Linked DNA regions of Saccharomyces cerevisiae S288C. The gene in region 4 interacts genetically with the main gene of each other region. Each region holds a gene or a part of one and is shown on either strand. Other genes may lie near its edges. The genes, in order: ASN1, MAL33, DSF2 and YAL064W.

Region 1 (5,233 bases), on a different chromosome or scaffold from region 4:
GGACTACTTCACCGTGTTAAATATATAAACGTGCGTAAACAAACAAAAAAAAAATAGATATAGTTTTTTTATACTTTTATTTTTAGGTTTGACTGCTAACACTGCACTAACAACGTTACTACTTTACATATGAGCACTGCCTTCAGAAAAATAAAACTAATATTTAAGAAAAGTGATAGTCAATATCCGCAAAACTATCGAGCGGAAATTAAATCAAGAAATAAGAATACAGTAATAACAAGGCACGATCTACTAATTGCACACGAAATGAAACAAAGGGCGTCGCTAGAGAGGAGCAATTCGATTAGGAATCTTCAGTCACAAGGTAAAAGGAGATCAGATTCAAAAGAATCTCGAAAATTGTAAGAAACGACATAAAAGAAGGGTGAAAAGGAGGGCATGCACTGTCTCCATCATTTTTAAGATTATTGGGTCTCAAGGAAGGAGGATGTATAATAGGAAATATCAAAGTCAAGAATAATGTTTCAAAATGATTTGCATCAAGATCGTTCGATACGCATATATACAGTCATCCACACACTTAATTTTTTAGCACTGGCGATAAAAAATGATTTATGAATAAAACTTCATCAAACTATTATGAAAAATATGTATTTCTATATTCTATTTATTATTATTATTATTGTTAGTGTTTGTTTTTCTATAAAAATATCTATAAGATTAATCCATAATTCTTTTTCTATTTTTTAATGTTATTTATTCGATATGTTTTTCATGAATTTGGGCATATCTACCAGAAGGATCTTCAGCACAACCCCAGTCGGCCTTTGGAATCCATCTCATAACGGTGTCAGCCACGGTCTTTTGAGGGAACAAAGCATCGAATTTTAGTCTGTACCAGAAAGCCTCTTTTGTGGTTGGAATGTCACTACCCCATTCGGCCTTTGGACTGGCAAACATTTCATCTGAAATGACTGCTTCGGCGGTATCTTTTAATCCGTCGATCCAGGAGTAACCAACACCGTCGGAAAATTGTTCTTTTTGTCTCCATAAAATTTCTTCTGGTAAATATGGCTTAGCATCTGGTTCTCCTGTGGTGTCGAATGCCTTCCTTAGAATGTACTTTTCAATACGTCCTTCCTTTGGTTTAATCATCTTTTCATTTGGATCGATGTTCATACACAATTGCAAAAATTCTCTGTCTAAGAATGGAACACGAGCTTCTAGACCCCAAGCCATCGTAGACTTGTTAGCTCTCAAACAATCTGCCAAATGCAAGTTCTTGACACGTTGCACGGATTCAGTGTGAAATTCTGCCGCAGAAGGAGCTTGTGCGAAATATAGATAACCACCGAAGATTTCATCGGAACCTTCACCGGAAAGAACCATCTTGACCCCTTGGGCCTTAATCTTTCTGGATAGTAAGAACATTGGAGTGGAAGCTCTGATAGTGGTAACGTCGTAAGTTTCCAAATGGTAGATCACGTCGTCCAAAGCATCCAAACCTTCTTGTAATGTAAAGGTGTGTTCATGATGAATAGAGCCGATGAATTTGGCAACCTTTCTTGCGGCTTGCAAATCTGGAGCATTTGGTAAACCGATGGCAAAGGAATGGAGACTTGTCCAACCAGCAGTGTGTAGCTTACCGTCATCGTCGATACCTGCTAGATGTCTTGCCTTACTATCGTAAGTTGATGGTTCGACATCGTTAGTGGCCTTTGCAGTTTCACGGGCAGCAATGGAAGCGATTAAAGAGGAGTCCAAACCACCCGACAATAGAACACCGTATGGGACTTCGGCCATTAATCTCTTTCTAACGGCTTTTTCTAAGGAGTGTCTAATTGCCATGTAATCTATTGGGGTGGAAGGAATGCGTTTTTCGTCCAGCCAATCTGGTGTGAAGTAACGGGTGATCTTGTCAGTCTTAGAATCGTATACGTGGCCCGGTGGGAATGCAGTGATAGTGTCACAGTCGTCAGTCAAACATTTTAGTTCGGATGCAAAATAAACGGTCTTTGGAGAAGCGGAAGAGCGTCCCATATATAATGTCGTAATACCGATTGGGTCTCTGGCTGCCACAATACGATCTTGTTTAGCGTCGTAAAGAGTCCAAGCAAACATACCATCCAAGTACTTAGGAGCGTCGATATCGTGCTTTAAGTACATTGGGATGATAGGCTCACAGTCACTCAGTGTTCCAAACTCGTAGTCTGCGCATTCTTCTCTTAATTGAATGTGGTTGTAGATTTCACCGTTAACACATAGCATGTACTCTCCGTCTGAAGAAGTAATTGGTTGAGCACCGGATTCCACACCGACAATGGCTAGTCTTTCATGAACAAATATAGTGGAGTTCTTGATAGCATTACCGGACCAATCTGGACCACGGTGTCTGATTCTTTTTGATAGTTGTAGAGCCTTTGGCTTATATCTATGCACGTCTTCGTGCCTGAAAGCGGCGAAAATACCACACATCTTAAGTTACGTCCGATTTATATCCTTAGCGTAAAGCAAGTTATACTTTTTCTTATTTTATTATGTAAAGGTAAGAAGAGTATGCGATCAGGGTCCAAACAGAATCTGTCTCCTAGTGGCGTTCACTATAGGGTTATATATGCGTATCTATAAATGCGCATAAATTCAAGAACGAACTATTTGTCATCTCGAGTGGGCAGCAAATTTTCAGTTTACAGAATGAGTCAAATGTTACATGAGTTAAGGCTCTTTTCCTTGTGCTCTCTCTCTCTGTCTGAGCCTGCCAAATGATAACAGTCATAGGCCCTGTACCTAATTTGCCGTCCACGGCAGCAGTACTGCTGCCGTGTGATTGGTGGATAGATAGTGCCAGCGATAAGAAACGGTAGTTGATGCCCGAAGGTGCTTTCCAGCGCAGAAAGACAGACCCCAGGCGTATTTGCGCTCACGTTGCACGAACACGGGCGGCATTCGTGATGACAATAGATTTAATTTAGATATGCACTGGTTTCCACAGAGACCAATCGACAGTCTTCCATGCAAGGTCACTTATTGTTAACGGCAAGTTTCCCTGGATGTCCGCTTTAAAACTGTTTCGGCACGGTTTAAAGGACACAAGTTTTGACTAGTCTACAATTTAAGAACATATAAAAAGCTACTTGTGTACAGATGAGATGACTACTCCCAAGTCAAAAACAACAAAAGAATGAAAGAAAAAAGAATCAGAATTTTATAAAAGCGTCCTTGTCATTCTTAAGAATGTAACAAGATCAATGGGTTGCGCAGGAACCGCTATCTCCATTAAAACCTCAGATCGCTCCGAGAAGAATTGTTCGATTTGAAACGCAAATAATATCATCGTATTCTTTTAAAAACTTGGAAGGTCATTGGTTTCTTTAAATGAAACCTCCAAAGAAAATCTAACGCGTCTTGGTAAAATATATGTACCGAGTGTTTCGCTTTTTATACCTGTTAAATGAAAATCGAAAAAAAAGAAAAAGAAAAAAGTTTTTCAGCACTTCTCTACGGGTAATCCTCGTATTTGAAGGTTTAGGGCTATTCTTGAAATTTTTCACTAAAATTTTCCAACTGAGAAAAAAAAAAGTGTATTACGGTTTTGATGAGATGAGATGAGATGTAATTATCATCCTCTATTGCCATGAAGAGAGATCTATTAAAAAGAAACGTCAAAGAATATGGTATTGCTTATATCAGAAATTAAAGATATTGCCAAGAGGCTGACTGCTGCGGGTGACAGAAAGCAGTACAACTCCATTATCAAGTTAATCAATGAACTAGTGATTCCAGAAAATGTTACTCAATTGGAAGAAGATGAGACAGAAAAAAATTTGAGATTTCTGGTTATGTCGCTATTCCAGATATTTAGAAAGCTGTTTTCCCGCGGCGACTTGACCCTTCCTTCGTCCAAAAAGAGCACATTAGAGAAGGAACAGTTTGTTAATTGGTGTAGAAAGGTGTATGAAGCGTTCAAGACGAAGCTGTTAGCTATCATTTCGGACATACCTTTCGAAACATCACTTGGGTTAGATTCGCTTGATGTCTATCTTCAACTTGCAGAGCTGGAATCAACTCATTTTGCATCTGAAAAGGGCGCACCATTTTTCCCCAATAAAACATTCAGAAAGTTAATCATCGCCCTATGGTCCTCGAACATGGGTGAAATAGAGGATGTCAAAAGCTCGGGTGCGTCTGAAAATTTAATCATAGTAGAATTCACGGAAAAATATTATACGAAATTTGCAGATATTCAATACTACTTTCAATCAGAATTTAACCAACTATTAGAGGATCCAGCCTACCAGGACTTGCTTTTGAAAAACGTTGGTAAATGGTTAGCTTTAGTAAATCATGACAAACATTGCTCTAGTGTTGATGCAGATTTAGAGATCTTTGTACCAAATCCCCCACAAGCCATAGAGAACGAGTCCAAATTCAAGTCCAATTTCGAGAAAAATTGGTTATCCCTTTTAAACGGCCAATTGTCTTTACAGCAGTATAAGTCTATTCTGTTAATTTTGCATAAGAGAATAATACCTCATTTCCACACTCCAACTAAACTAATGGATTTCCTTACTGATTCCTACAATTTGCAAAGCTCTAATAAAAACGCCGGTGTTGTTCCGATCTTGGCTCTGAATGGCCTTTTTGAATTGATGAAAAGATTCAACTTGGAATATCCAAATTTTTATATGAAACTTTATCAAATTATAAATCCAGACTTAATGCATGTTAAATACAGAGCAAGATTTTTCAGGTTAATGGACGTATTTTTGTCATCAACACATTTATCCGCCCATTTAGTAGCATCTTTCATCAAAAAGCTAGCCAGACTCACCCTAGAATCACCACCCTCTGCTATTGTCACCGTGATTCCCTTCATCTATAATTTAATCAGGAAACATCCGAATTGTATGATTATGCTGCACAACCCAGCCTTCATTTCCAACCCATTCCAGACACCTGACCAAGTGGCGAACTTGAAAACTCTGAAAGAAAACTATGTAGATCCCTTCGATGTTCATGAATCGGACCCTGAGTTAACTCATGCACTGGATTCCTCTCTGTGGGAGCTGGCGTCATTGATGGAACATTATCATCCTAATGTAGCCACGTTGGCGAAGATATTTGCTCAACCATTTAAGAAGCTAAGTTATAACATGGAAGATTTCTTAGACTGGAACTATGATTCTTTGCTCAATGCAGAATCTTCAAGAAAGTTGAAGACACTTCCTACGTTAGAATTTGAGGCTTTCACAAACGTTTTTGATAATGAAGA
Region 2 (5,065 bases), on a different chromosome or scaffold from region 4:
CCAAAACAATTATTTTGGCTCGTAATGCTTACAATGTGATCCAAGTTGTAGTTACAGTTTTGATCATGTACCAATTGAACTCAGAGAAATGGAATTGGGGTGCTAAATCAGGCTTTTTCTGGGGAGGATTTTGTCTGGCCACTTTAGCTTGGGCTGTTGTCGATTTACCAGAAACCGCTGGCAGGACTTTTATTGAGATAAATGAATTGTTTAGACTTGGTGTTCCAGCAAGAAAGTTCAAGTCGACTAAAGTCGACCCTTTTGCAGCTGCCAAAGCAGCAGCTGCAGAAATTAATGTTAAAGATCCGAAGGAAGATTTGGAAACTTCTGTGGTAGATGAAGGGCGAAACACCTCATCTGTTGTGAACAAATGATTTTTTTAGCCAGTAGGTAGATACGGCGTTATTTAATTTTATTTTATATAACTAGTACTTAACACATCGAGTTTATTTTTACTCGACATTATGACTTTTTTTTGGTTTTGTTGCGGCTTTGAAGTTTTTTCAACTAGAGGTTATTATTTTGTTCTGAAAAAACGTTAATGATTTAAATGAATCATTGTGATGAGGGTCCTAGATTTAAATATCTTGCAAAAAGAAGTACTAATATACAATTTTTTCATTCCCGTTAATGAAAATGCTTGAATTTTTATATTGTATATTGATACACTCTATTCATGTTCCGGCAACAATTATTTTTTTTTTAATTCTGTAAATTTACTTTTTGACGTATTCTTTCAGCATTTCTGTGCTTATGTTAGAATTCAAGAGAGTATTCCCTATTCCTGGTAACGTAAATTCGCTTTGTAAATCAACGATACATGATTCTCATATCCCAACAAAAATGCCACAAAATTTATATTAGTAAGCTGCCCGCTTAAGTATATACTTAATGTAACTGTATATAGAATTATCATGACCATCAGAACTAAATATTACAAACAAGTAAGGCAGGAGTAGAATAATCTCGCCTGAAGAACATAGCTTCTTACACCCTCGAAAAGCAAGACTTAAGAATATCACTCACACTCTATCAGTATATCTATCTCGTATAAGTGAACGGCGTGAACAATAAATTAAGGAATTATGTCGTCTTCATCTTTGGAATCATCATTTAGGCGCAGTGGTCTAGAGATAGGCAAATCGATTAGAGCACTCTGACATTTAGTTGAAAACCTTTGAAACATTTTATGATTGCAATGTTTCAGGGAGAAAACGAACTTGGATACATCGCACAAAATATTCCAAGCCTCCAACTTCATATTGTGATCATACTTATTTACGATATCTACCAATGCATTGGCTACTTCCAATGATTTCATTGGTATTCCAGGACCATGTACATCATACAGGTTGTTTGGAGTTAAGAATATGTCGTCCAGCATATCCTTTGCAATTTCGACCAATATGTGAGCATTATTGGCGTTTGAGAAAAACTTGGTACCATTCATCTGAAACACTAGCTTCCAAGCCAGCGCCCTAATCCAATGTCGAGAAAATGAAATGTCCACATAGCCATAAGACCATGGTTCTATTTCAAGGGATGCTGTGTGAAGCTCTTTCCATATTTTTTTCAGTGAGTCTTCAGTGCAAGAACCGCTAGTAGACTCCGTAGCCAAAGCATCAAAAAAGCATTTACCTGGTACAGTAAATACTCTAATCATCTCAAAAAAGCTATCCAAAGAAAGTCGAGGGTCCGTTACGAACTCTGGCTGAGGTGGAGCTATTGTGGTATCCAAACTTGTAACACAATGAACATATACGGAATAGTATCTTTCCGTCAAGAGAAGCAAATAATACACCTTGCGTAAAAGCTGTTGCTCACGAAATGATAGTGATTCGTATGCTTTTTCACGATGTAACCCTGCTACAATAACAAGGCCAATAGCTTCACGACAAAGTCTGTATGAATTTCTTACATCAGAAGACTGTGAAAAACAACGTAGCAAGCAATAATATGTCATAATTCGGAAAATGTCTCTGCCGCTAAGGTCATCAAATTGTTGGCGTGAGGACATACAGAGAACGGCTAATTGTTTTCCAGTAAACGAAAATCCCCCCTCAGATTCTAATTCGCTTTGTAGATCGCTAAGATTGGCTGCTGAAAGAGCTACGAGAAACCAATAAACGTAATGGTCATTGTATTCTTCGTCCAAAAGCTTGTGAAGGTCATCATAAGAGAGTAAAGGCCAGATAACATATAGATTGTCGTGATAAAGCCTCAAACACTGATCAATCACCTTTTTAGGAACCTTCATTAATATTTCTGCCGCTGCCGTACAACTTTTATTATCTATAAACATTTTGGCCTTTGGTATATACTTTAAGCTTCTAGTTCCAATAGGCTTTGAGCCTCTTTTTTTTAATGGTTGCTGATATGTGCAATCGAAATTGTGCTCAATACAGCGACTACATGGTTTTTTACCATCACACTTTACTCGACGGACACGACAATAGTCGCATGCATACTTGACTAAAGTCATATTTAGAACATAAATATCTTCAAGATGCTCTCGTTCGATGTTTGATATTCAATATTTACACTCTAGTGTTTTCCCGAGAAAGAAACCTTCTGAAATGATTTTTTGTTCCTTTTTAATCTATTGAAAAATGGCGGTACGGACAATAAAATCCGGGGGCGGGGTAAATTGCGCATGGCCGTGGAATGTCACTGCAAAGTGAACGAGAAGATTAGAACACGGAATAAGGAAAACTTCTGGGGAATTTATTTTTCAAGATTTGGTTCCAGGTTTTTCCCCAGAAATGAAAGTGCTAGATGATTGGTTTTCAAGGAAGTTCTCAAAAGCTGTACACGGAAACAATCACGGCACCATTTCCTTGTCAACTCTGTCTTATATCAGAGTCCATAAACTAGTAAAATGACTTCGTAGAATCGAACAATATCTCACCATAAAATTTTTTTCACAAACAAAAAAGACGCTCTATTATACAAAAAGCTGCTGCGGCCCTTCTTAATGACTAAATCTTGACAACTGAGCTCTTTCACACCTGTGCAAAATCCAATGGGAGCAATAAATGTAACATATTTTTTTAACATACCACGGTAGGGCAATGAATATAAATAGATATTGGACCGTATCCTTTTCTGATCATCTTGAAAACATTGTCTTGCCTCTCAACAGCTTTATCTATTCTTCACCTCTCTTCGTTTGACTATTTCAGCATGTATTTTTTCACACAATTTTTCTTCCAACTATTTTCCAATATTACTACGAGAATTCCGACCACGGAAAAAAACTTGCGCTGTTCCAATCAGTCCCATTCTATCCATCTACCTGCCAGTGGTTTCGTAATATCGACTCACACCAGTAACGACATAACTGTTTTTTCGTTCATGATTTAATAGCGAGCCCACCTTTAACGCATATCTGCTTCACCGCTGAAATAATATTTTACGAGCACGCTAACACAATGCTTGTGTTTTCTGTTGAAATCACAATACCGTTACTTGGAGTGACCATTTATGGTTTGTTGAATTCACAGTACTCTCGTCAGCTTTGTCACGTATTCAACTGTAACCTCTTTGAATCTCAACACTACGTTGTCTTCGCGTGTACTAAATGTATCGATTATATAATAGTATTTAAAAATCATTTAAAATTGCACCATGTACTGTATAATGATTTTCTCAAGACGATATTTCGAGTTTTGCCGATGGGTCTTATAATCTCTTTTGATAGAGATACCTACTTTTAACAATATCAAAATTACTGATATAGGTTAATTTTTGTTCACGAGTAAGTACTTCAGTGACACTCGTCAGTAAAGAACATTAGCGGAATCGTTATAATTTCATTCCTTACATCCGTTTAATTTCATTAATTCGATGCATCTTTCTTTGGCGAAGCCAGAAAATCTAGTTTCAGAAATCTCGGTTTCACCCGCAAAAAAGTTTAAATTTCACAGATCGCGCCACACCGATCACAAAACGGCTTCACCACAAGGGTGTGTGGCTGTGCGATAGACCTTTTTTTTCTTTTTCTGCTTTTTCGTCATCCCCACGTTGTGCCATTAATTTGTTAGTGGGCCCTTAAATGTCGAAATATTGCTAAAAATTGGCCCGAGTCATTGAAAGGCTTTAAGAATATACCGTACAAAGGAGTTTATGTAATCTTAATAAATTGCATATGACAATGCAGCACGTGGGAGACAAATAGTAATAATACTAATCTATCAATACTAGATGTCACAGCCACTTTGGATCCTTCTATTATGTAAATCATTAGATTAACTCAGTCAATAGCAGATTTTTTTTACAATGTCTACTGGGTGGACATCTCCAAACAATTCATGTCACTAAGCCCGGTTTTCGATATGAAGAAAATTATATATAAACCTGCTGAAGATGATCTTTACATTGAGGTTATTTTACATGAATTGTCATAGAATGAGTGACATAGATCAAAGGTGAGAATACTGGAGCGTATCTAATCGAATCAATATAAACAAAGATTAAGCAAAAATGGCTTTACATCAATTTGACTATATTTTTGCCATTGCCATGTTATTTGCATTTTTGGATGCCTTTAACATCGGGGCAAACGACGTGGCGAACTCATTCGCGTCGTCGATCTCTTCTAGATCTCTAAAATACTGGCAAGCCATGGTTTTGGCGGGTCTCTGTGAGTTCTTGGGTGCTGTCTTGGCAGGCGCAAGAGTTTCTGGTACTATCAAGAACAACATTATAGATTCCTCCATTTTTACCAACGACCCCGCTGTTTTAATGCTTACTATGACCAGTGCTTTGATTGGCTCGTCTTGTTGGTTAACATTTGCTACTGCAATCGGAATGCCAGTTTCTACTACACATTCCATTGTTGGTGGTACAATTGGCGCTGGGATTGCAGCCGGTGGAGCTAACGGTGTCGTTTGGGGTTGGAGTGGTGTTTCTCAAATTATTGCGTCATGGTTCATTGCTCCGATTTTGGCAGGCGCGATCGCAGCTATAGTTTTTTCAATTTCTAGGTTTTCTGTCCTTGAAGTTAAGTCTTTGGAAAGATCGATTAAGAATGCTTTACTGCTGGTTGGTGTTTTAGTATTCGCCA
Region 3 (5,747 bases), on a different chromosome or scaffold from region 4:
GTCAACACTTTATACACTGTGTCTGAAGCTTTGGAAACTGGTATGGTTTCATGTAATACAGGTGTTTTTTCGGATTGTTCTATACCATTTGGTGGTGTTAAAGAGTCAGGATTTGGAAGAGAAGGTTCGCTATATGGTATTGAAGATTACACTGTTTTGAAGACCATCACAATTGGGAATTTGCCAAACAGCATTTAAAGCAATAGTAATCGTGGACGATACTTAGAATTGAATATGATTCTTTGTAATGATTGTATATATCTATTGCATGTATAAATACTCTACTCCTCGTATATAGAAAGTTAAGTAAATTTTTTGAAAGAAAAGAGTTCATATATTTACGGAGTTTTGAAGTTTTTCACAAGCGGAATAAGTGATACCATTCATAAAATATCATATCTATCTATCTATCTATTTTTGTGAGATATATGGTACGAAAATAAATGCCTTTCCTTTTAAGCCTTTCTGTAAGCTTTTATGTATACAACGTTTCTTTATCTTTATTTCGGACCTTGTTTCATGTACTTTTCCTTATAAATCCAATCTGAACCTAATAGATTTGCACCTTTTTTATCGGCTATCCTAAACCATGCAGCAGCTCTGGCGAGATCCCTTTTCTTTACGTTTGAAGTTTTGGACCAAATTGTCCCGCTTAAGCACATTGAGTCTACATGGCCTAATAGAGCAGCTTTTTCCAAAAATTTCAAACCTTTTCGCTCGTCGGGATGATCCATCCCAAGACCCTTTAAATATGCCATACCACATTCGTACAAGGCAGGTGCTGTTGGTTCAGGCGCTATATCAGGGATATCGTCCATTGAAGCAAAATTTAACGGATTTATATCTAAATCAAGAACCTCAGCAGCAAAGGATTTGATATCAGTGGCAGCCATTAAATATCCTAATGATAATTTCAAGTTCTTGTCCACTCCGCAGCCATGTCGCAGGGCTAGTCCATATAACAGAAACGCAGTTTTGTTTCCGCACGCGCAGGCTTTTTTCAGTCGTTGTGCAGATTCTTCAAGTTTGCCTTGATGACGCATAGTAATTGCCTGTCCGATGTGTGAAGATTCATCATTATCATAAGGTTCTGGGTGAAATTTAAGCTTCCCGCACTTGCTTGTTGCGTTCGATCCTTCTTTTTTATGACTGAAGGAATCCATGCATTGCGTCGAATTATTGGGCAACATACCATCTAAAGAAAGTGTTCTTCTTCTAACTTTCGGGTGGTAGGGCTTATTTGATTGTTCTGTTAGTGCACTTAGTTCACCTATTTTTGAATCTTTTTCCGTTGTATGGAAATCCGAGAAAGTTCTCAAATGAGTCCTATTTGGACGTGCTTTACTGTTCTTTTTTTTATCCGTGGATGACTGAGGTGTTGATGCTGTTTTAAAATGGAAAACTGGGTTTGGAGGAAAAATATACCTAGCTAAATGTGGACTGGAATTATTAATGGTACTTGAAGTAGATGGAAGTTGAATATTCTCCCCAGAGAAGTCCAATGAATTGGTGGCAGACCGGATAGGGCTTGATCCTTCAGACTCAAGGTCTTTCTTATTTTTTGCTCTTGTCCTAGGAGATTTAAAAAGTTTTTTTAGCGAATTTAGTGACGTTTTTTTTTTATGAGCTTTATATGGTGGCGTTGGAGGTAATGAAATATCATTTGTCATGGTATTTGTTTTCGTTATCGTCGAGGTAGAGGAATTAGACCGTTTAGGAGATGGTTTGATGGGTGTTGTATCACTCTTAGTTAACTTGAGTTTGGAGAATGAGGATGATTCACTTTCAAAAGAAGACTGAGTTTTCGGCTTTGATAGTTGTCCAACTTCAGAAAAGGAGGTGTTGGTGCTTGTTGAACTTCCGTTCCGATAAAGACAATTACTCTTTTGCGTGGTTGTGAACTCATTGGGGCAACTCTGCTTCTCGGATATTCTGTCAGTTTTTGTAGATGTATTAATATTATTACTAGTAGTTCTGTTATTCTTACTATTAGCATTATTGTCAACGCTAGTATTATTGTCTGATATCAGCGTAGGATAAAGATGGTGCAGTCTAGTATTTTCAATCCTATATTTCTCGAAGTTGAAAGGATTAGGGCTATTTGTGCTTCTATTGCCATTTTCAAGGTTTGGGTACTTATAATCTTTCTCATTTCTATTCATTTGGGGTTTCATGCCACTAAAAGTCTCAGAGTCATAATCTTCTTCGACGATATAAGAGTATCTCGACTTCACGGGCAAATGCCTTTCCACTTTACCGGAAGAGTATTTGCCTCTCAAAGTGGAATCCTTTTCTTTTAAATTGTCTATGATAAGAGAACGATCTCTAGCTTGTATATATGTTGGAGAGGGATTAGTTCTATACCTTAATGAAGGGAATTCCGACGCAGGCATACATAATGTTGGACCACTTGTTTGTGACAGTTGCGAATTTCTCGACGCGTTTTCTTCTTCTAATAAAGCTTCTTGCAGAATCAGTTCATCTTCCAAGCTGAGGTCTAATTTGTCAAGAAGTCTTTCCGTGGTTTGAATAGATTCGAATGAAATGCTACTTTTATTTGAATGAGCATAGCTAAATTGTGAATCCATTGATGACTCGAAGCTATTATTGGGTGGTGGGCTTTGTGAAACCTCTGAAGAGTTAGCTTTTCTTTCTTGATCGTCGCTTCCTATTCGATCAGCCCAAGAAGTGTTTTTTAAATTTTGATTCATTACTTTTCGTGTGACGTAAAAGTCCGTTTGTTTTTCTAGATTTTCTGTTTTTTCTCGAGGCTCCTACAAGTTCCACCTATATTTAGCATTGAGGAACAGAATGTGCTATCGCAAAGAGCAATGGCAACAGAAAAAAAGAGTTGCTAAAGAAGAACTATTTTTGAATGTCCGTGGTAATACAATGGAAGACTACTAGAACACGATGGCAGATAAGGTGATTTGATAATCAAATTCAACGACGGTTGCACCGTTGTTCTTTCTGCCGCTCTTCGTCCGGAGCCTTCTGTGATAATTGTTTTAACGCGCAGAAACACACGCAGGCTGCGTAAAGGAATGGTGGGGCTCGAAGAAGTGACAGTGGGTGTCCACGGAATGTTCTGAGCGCAGGGATCCGGTGTTGCCATCGCACACGATATGAGACGCGTTCATTTTTTCCAGCAGTCACCTAAAAGTTCAAGAAACGCTATGTTGTAATGCAGCTGTATTGTACACTGGCTGGTATTGCCGTTCTGATCTATGACTTACTTGTTAGAGGTAATAGCTGTCTTAGATCGGCTTGCTTCTTCTGACTTCCTTCTTTTTTTTTTTTTTTTCGAAGTGAGGCATGCTGCAGTTTTGTGCAGCTTCTCTTGCATCACTTCCTGTATTATTTACGTTGTTTACATTATCAGGTATTTTGTATTATTTTTTGCGCAACAGCAAGCAAACGCAATAGCGATAAATGCCATAATATAATCAAAATTTAGCAAGGATACATAGCAGCAAACCCGAACCTTTAGGCCTCTCATAGATGAAGAAAATTTGTACAATTCTTTTGGTTCTTTGGCTCTTCAAATATGAATTTATTAAGAGGAAATCCTGAAGCATCAGAACATCGCAAACTTTTTATTCGCAAGAGGATTTATCCTCTGATTAGTTATATATGAATATGTGTTCCTTCTGCATGATTTTGATATCAATAGTATGCATTTTTTTTCGATTCGTCGTAGAAACATAGCTACTCTCATGACCAAATGACTCTTTTTGGCTTTGACAGTGGAACAGCCAAGTTTTTATGTAGAAATATATTATCTGTTAACTGGAAATGATGTCTTAGGCCCATAAAATGTGCTAGAACGTATGGCTAATCCTTTTGCTCTGTATTCAATTGAGTATTTTGCTTAATTTCTATTTGATAATTGAACTTCTTACGTGTATAAATGGTTGCATATTTCTTTAGTAAGTACTATTTTCAAATATGAGTGAAGGATATTGTGGCTCAAGTAATTCCTCTTTCTTTTTTCATCCGTATGGTAAGCAAAGGGTCACAAAGTAACCGATAGTGTGTAGACCTTAGATCTTCCTTCAAAGATTTCAAGTCTGCGATAAATAAACATGAGAATACTTGCAACAACAACTTTTATAAACAATGAAGTTCATTATGAACAGTATTTATTTCACTGCTAAACTTTACGTAAACTTATGTGGAACATCTTTGTCGACAGATGGACGATAAGTAAAATTGTGTTATTATAATTCAAATTTTCATGGTAAGAACATCGGCTTTCTACTCCTCTGTGTACGAAGATCTTGTACGTAATGATGGCCCATACTTATAAAGTATAAACGGGATAATAGCTAGACCTAAAGTTAGGAACCCCACTAAGGACGAACCCCATGCCACAGGATAGTTCTTAGTAGCTAAATTGTCATACATTGCTCTACCAAACAACGGAAAAGCACAGGCAAACGAAGCCCGACAAAAACCATTGCCTGCAAAAACGGATGCAACATACTTTGGGTAGCATGTAGCCAAATATGCAAAAGTTGCTTGGAAAATGTTAAAGACAGCTAAAACAAAAAAAACTTCCGAGATAACTGGCAAAATCCAATGCACTCGAGCAGTCCAACCAAATAAGAACAAAGACAGAGGCAGGCACCAGCAGACACACATTGCCACGATTAAAAAAGCTTCCGGGGTGAATGTGCCGTTTCTAAAACGTGGTACAATAATCCTCATGTTTAAAATACCGAATAAGCCATAAGCAAGTACGCACCCTACGCAAAACCCCATATAGGCCAAGCCAACTTCAACTAAGCTGAAGTGGTATATACCTACAAATACAATAGGGAATGCTTCAAAGAATAAGTAGAAACAACCATAAGCAACAGCGATATAGAGATCAAAAGCCAAAATTGCAGGCTCTTTGATAATCATTTTGAGAGGCCTATACAAAGTATTGATCAAAAAAGTTCTTGCATCAACTTCTCTATCGAGTTTATCCTGTTCAGTATAGTACCTGTCATCACCAGTTTCTTTTCTCAATTTCAAAGCACGGCGGTACAAAATATTATGGTGTTGTGTTTCAGGGAAGAAAAATGCCAACAAGATAAAAGTGGCAGCACTTAACCACATTAATAACCAAAATATGAATCGCCAATTTTTAGCATCGACCATAGCAGCGCCTAGTAAGGGAGCCAAGACTGGCGCAGCAACAGCACCGGCTGACCACATACCTAAAACGAGAGGAACCATTTCTGGTGAAATGATATCAGCCACTGTACCGCCACCAGTGGCCAACGATGGGCTGCACAGTATGCCACTGATGAAACGCATGACGATTAAACCGCCGATGTTATGCACAGTAGCACAACCAACTTGAAAGATCATGAAAAAAAATAAAGTCACCATGTACAGATTTAGACGGCCATAGCGTGCAGTTTCTGATAGCGGTGAAAAAATGATGGGACCTAGACCATAACCAAGAACATATAAAGAAAGATTTAATGTTGCCACTACATGACCAACGTGGAACTCTTCTTGAATATATTCCTGGCCAGGTGTGTAAATGGAGGATCCCATGTACGTGACGCAAGTAAGTAACATTATTTGGAATACTACCAATGATTTTTTCAGTAGGGGCCAGTTTTGTGGGTTCTCAGGATCACTGGGGCCGTTCCAATCCACCCTGAAAGGATCATTTTTTTCGATCTGTGAACCACTAGAGTCTGAATCGGTAGAGGATTCAGAGCACGATCTATTAGGACCGCATTCTA
Region 4 (3,760 bases):
GGTTGTGTAATAGTGGTGCTTATTCCTAATGCTCTGAAGTCTGAAGCGGTACAGTTGGTCTGGTCTATATCATGGTCAAAGGAGCAAACATATCTTCTGAAGTGACCGCAAATAGTACTATGATGTGGTTGGCAATATAACTTAAAAGGAAATAACCACAAGGAATTGCACCCATGTACACAGTTTTTCCCGGAAATTGGGAAACCAGTACGAACATATATCAATTACTTTTACATTATCTTGATTGGAAAACTGGCACAATTGACTGTGACGTTAGTAGTATGTTGTTCTTCTCTACATCAGTTAAATATACGTGTCAACATCAACTAATCAACTTTCCCCCGTTTACCACATTGAAGCTGGGTGTGGAAGATTTATTTGAAGAAACTAAAACGTACCCTGTCATTTCCTGAGTCCCCTTTCAACTTAGTGTGAAAGCCGAACAATTATAATCCTCGGTAGACAACAGATTTATTGTACTAAAGTTACTCTTCCTGTTATCTTCCTTGATTTTACTGTTATAGCAATGACCCACCGCAATCAGGAGAGCCGCCGTATGGAATAGCATACCAAGTCATAAAATCGTCAACCTATTAACGGGGTTCAGGTTCTTTTTCAGCGTAGTAGCCCTTTAACAAGCGCTGACAAAGTTGACACTCAGAGAAAATTCAGGATTTATTGTAATCCAGCTACTCATCCTTAGATCCGCTTGCAGGCATGGTTTTTTTCACCTTGAGAGGCTATTTTGGGTAAGCCAGGAAGGCTGAAAAATCCCAAAAGGACACAGTAATAAGAAATTGTTGTTGTTGTATGATGCATTTAGAACTCAAAAGACGAGTTTCTGAAAATGCTTACAATACTCCATAGGTAACATGATTTTTTTATTAAAAAAGTATACTGTTCCTTTGGGTAAAAATTATGCAACCCTTGAGTGTCCGATGAAGATAAGACTACGAAACAATTTGCGGTAAATTTTTTCTGCTATTGACATTTACACATGCTCCAATCCATTACCCTTTCCATTCTCGTAATAAAACCTCGAACTGTTATTTCATATTTACATCTAGACGGGTATCGGCCTCAACAACTCCAAACAAAAGTAAATAGAAAAGAGCCAGACCTATCGCACCGGGTAGAGCCAGAAAATATTTTAAACTATAGTTGACGTATTCTACGGCTGTTGTTTAGGACAATACTTTTTCCTTCACAGGCTTCGAATTACGCACATGCAGAACTCCTGTAGAAACCACGAAGAAAAGTTTAATTAACTTTCAAATGCCAGAACTAAAGATTGATGAAACAGTTATACGAATTTAAGGGGAACTTGCTTTTTCCTTTTGCTTCATCATAAGCGCAATATTCGCAGCGGTGGCGTCGCGTCTTACCATTTATCGGCACATTTTTCCGAAAAGGAAGGAAAATGGCGGTGTCAAACGGTCTGGTGTGACATCTAGAAGTTCGGCATTGCAAGTTAATCTACGGGAAAAAGAAAATTTTCTTATAACCCTAATGTATAATAAGGTTTTCGGAGAAAGCAACTCACGGGGAACAATTGGTTAGAAGAGACCGTAGAAGCGCCCCACTAACCTGGAGTTGATTATCGAGGATCTTTCTCAGAAAAGCAGCTAATAAATGAGCACAGTACTCAAAAATTACTCATAGTATTATAATTACTTACTTAGTCAATATGGCTGCGCTTTTAAAATGAGTATCTTTTATTTTTTGACAAGGAAGAAAAAGATGCAAGCAAAGAGAAATTTACTAAGTACAAGCTCATTTCCAAAAATTCAGTTTGCCTGTAACAATGGGTAGCGATCTTCAACATATGGGATTATGCCTTGAATGAGATTTTTGAACGTAGAGGAAAAAATCGCAGACAGGCTTTATTGTGCTGTTTGACATAGTATACTCAGCCGTTGTGGTGTTAATGAATACTATCGATGTGTATACAAACGTACTTCAAATAAGCAATGCGAATATACTGCAACTTTTCGGCCTTTGCAACGATTTGTAATGAATCCTTTTGCATCGCTAGAAGGACAAGATAATATTTCTTCTGTTTTTTTTTTACATATGCAACAATTTGAAAGTCAGGTCAAAGACAGATTCCGGTTCCCCATATTCAGATTGGAGAGAAAAACTTTTGGCAACTCATGTTACCAAGTCGAGACGCTTAAAGTTAAGTGTCGGCCAAGACACGCAAAATCTTGTAATCTTTTAACGCTGCTCTTCAAATCACGGACGCAATCAGTACTTGTACCTAATTTTGGTTTTCTAATATTGAATAGCGAACCATAGGTCGAAAATTTAAGGCCACATAAATCCAGAGCCCGCAACTTGGATAGGTATTTACTTGATTTTTAGTTTGCTTTCAATAGTGTCGTGAAATTATAAAGTACGCCGCATATATATCTTGATTAGTTAAAAATAGCAGTGTTCAATGATGATTTGATAGGGTTCATAACTGGTACCAGCGTAGTACAATTACGATTATCCATGAACATAAAAGTGGTTTAAGTACTATATATCAGTGAAGCTTCAAAGTAAGCAAACGAGATACCAAGATCTTGTAGGACCACGATATATAAGAAGCCTAGTTCCGTTGTAGCATCACATAGAAGAGAGCGACAATGCCTCAGAAATTCTACAGCAACAGAAAGCACAGTGAGTCATTAACTGTTGGAATAAGACTCAACTGCGAGCTATCGACTAGTACTTATATTACTAGTATATTATATACGGTGTGAAAAGACGACATGAAGATTGAGGAAATGGTCCCAAGATCTAATGGACACTGAAATGCAAAAGTTGATAATGTAACATGAAAATTAAGGACAGCATATTAAACAGAAGAGGAAATAATGGTATTTTTACATAGAGATATGAATTTCCCTTTTTCTTTGTTCCTATATCTCTGATAATAAGTTATAATATACTTTGTGCATCTTATATCATGCCTTTTCAACAATGAAATATCAGCAGTTATCAAAGCATTCGCCAAATTTTTATTAATAAAACAAATGTCAGAAATATGGCCGGAATCTAATCTGAAAGTTAAAATAATTCTTACGATATTCTTATCATAAAACCAATGATTAATGTTTATGATGAGCAAAACTGTGCGAGGGCACATACATACAGTGGGACCTCATGAGATCCAGAAAAAAAGCAAAGGAAAGTTCGATCGAAACATTAGCTCTTAGATATTACAGACGTGAGGTATCTCTTCCTTGAAGAGAATCTGGCCCTGATCAAAAACTTTATTTTGATACTGTTCGAAAAGAGAAATAAGGACAACGTTCTAATTTATACAAATATAACCAGTAGGCTTTATCGTAAAATCCTCGAACTTGCTTCTCATCACAGAAGTATAAAAAGTAAAGAGGTCAAGCAAGAAACGAATAACCACCAAATTTTTTTCAATTGAAAAGCGAAACGTAATGGAAATTCACCTGCTTTGAATCGTTGTTGAATTCTTATCATCAGTCATTATTTTCCTCTTTTAAAGCTTAAGTCAACCGCATCTAAGTTTAACACTTCGTTCCCGTTTTGAAGTTTATCAAAATTCCAAAATACAGTAGTTAGGTGCTCGTGACAAACCTTTTTCCAAAGTGTCATTAGACTTCATGGAACTACTACACTTCTGGGGAACGAAAAGCTACCATTTGCTCATCATTGGATAATTTCTTTTTTTTTTTTTGATGCATCCAAACTTGGACCCCTTTTGAATGTCGAGTATGAAGTATCAATTTTAGGGCAA

Evidence for each region.
Region 1: mutations in YAL064W (region 4) and ASN1 together harm fitness more than expected from each alone (negative genetic interaction), as found in Saccharomyces cerevisiae (one large-scale study listed by BioGRID).
Region 2: mutations in YAL064W (region 4) and MAL33 together harm fitness more than expected from each alone (negative genetic interaction), as found in Saccharomyces cerevisiae (one large-scale study listed by BioGRID).
Region 3: mutations in YAL064W (region 4) and DSF2 together harm fitness more than expected from each alone (negative genetic interaction), as found in Saccharomyces cerevisiae (one large-scale study listed by BioGRID).

The regions. Positions count from the first base shown.
Region 1 is NC_001148.4:819,823-825,055, reverse strand, and holds ASN1 (asparagine synthase (glutamine-hydrolyzing) 1), read right to left. Parts: upstream 2,437-5,233; coding exon 718-2,436; downstream 1-717. Other genes in the region: YPR145C-A (uncharacterized protein), read left to right, coding at 130-366; ribosome biosynthesis protein NOC4, read left to right, coding at 3,633-5,233.
Region 2 is NC_001134.8:797,940-803,004, reverse strand, and holds MAL33 (transcription factor MAL33), read right to left. Parts: upstream 2,483-5,065; coding exon 1,076-2,482; downstream 1-1,075. Other genes in the region: MAL31 (maltose permease), read left to right, coding at 1-374; TYC1 (Tyc1p), read left to right, coding at 2,763-2,882; PHO89 (Pho89p), read left to right, coding at 4,483-5,065. UniProt on the Saccharomyces cerevisiae protein: Regulates the coordinate transcription of structural MAL3S (maltase) and MAL3T (maltose permease) genes.
Region 3 is NC_001134.8:248,306-254,052, forward strand, and holds DSF2 (Dsf2p), read right to left. Parts: upstream 2,712-5,747; coding exon 501-2,711; downstream 1-500. Other genes in the region: UGA2 (succinate-semialdehyde dehydrogenase (NAD(P)(+))), read left to right, coding at 1-198; FLR1 (Flr1p), read right to left, coding at 4,258-5,747.
Region 4 is NC_001133.9:19,553-23,312, forward strand, and holds YAL064W (uncharacterized protein), read left to right. Parts: upstream 1-2,013; coding exon 2,014-2,298; downstream 2,299-3,760. Other genes in the region: YAL063C-A (uncharacterized protein), read right to left, coding at 2,843-3,133.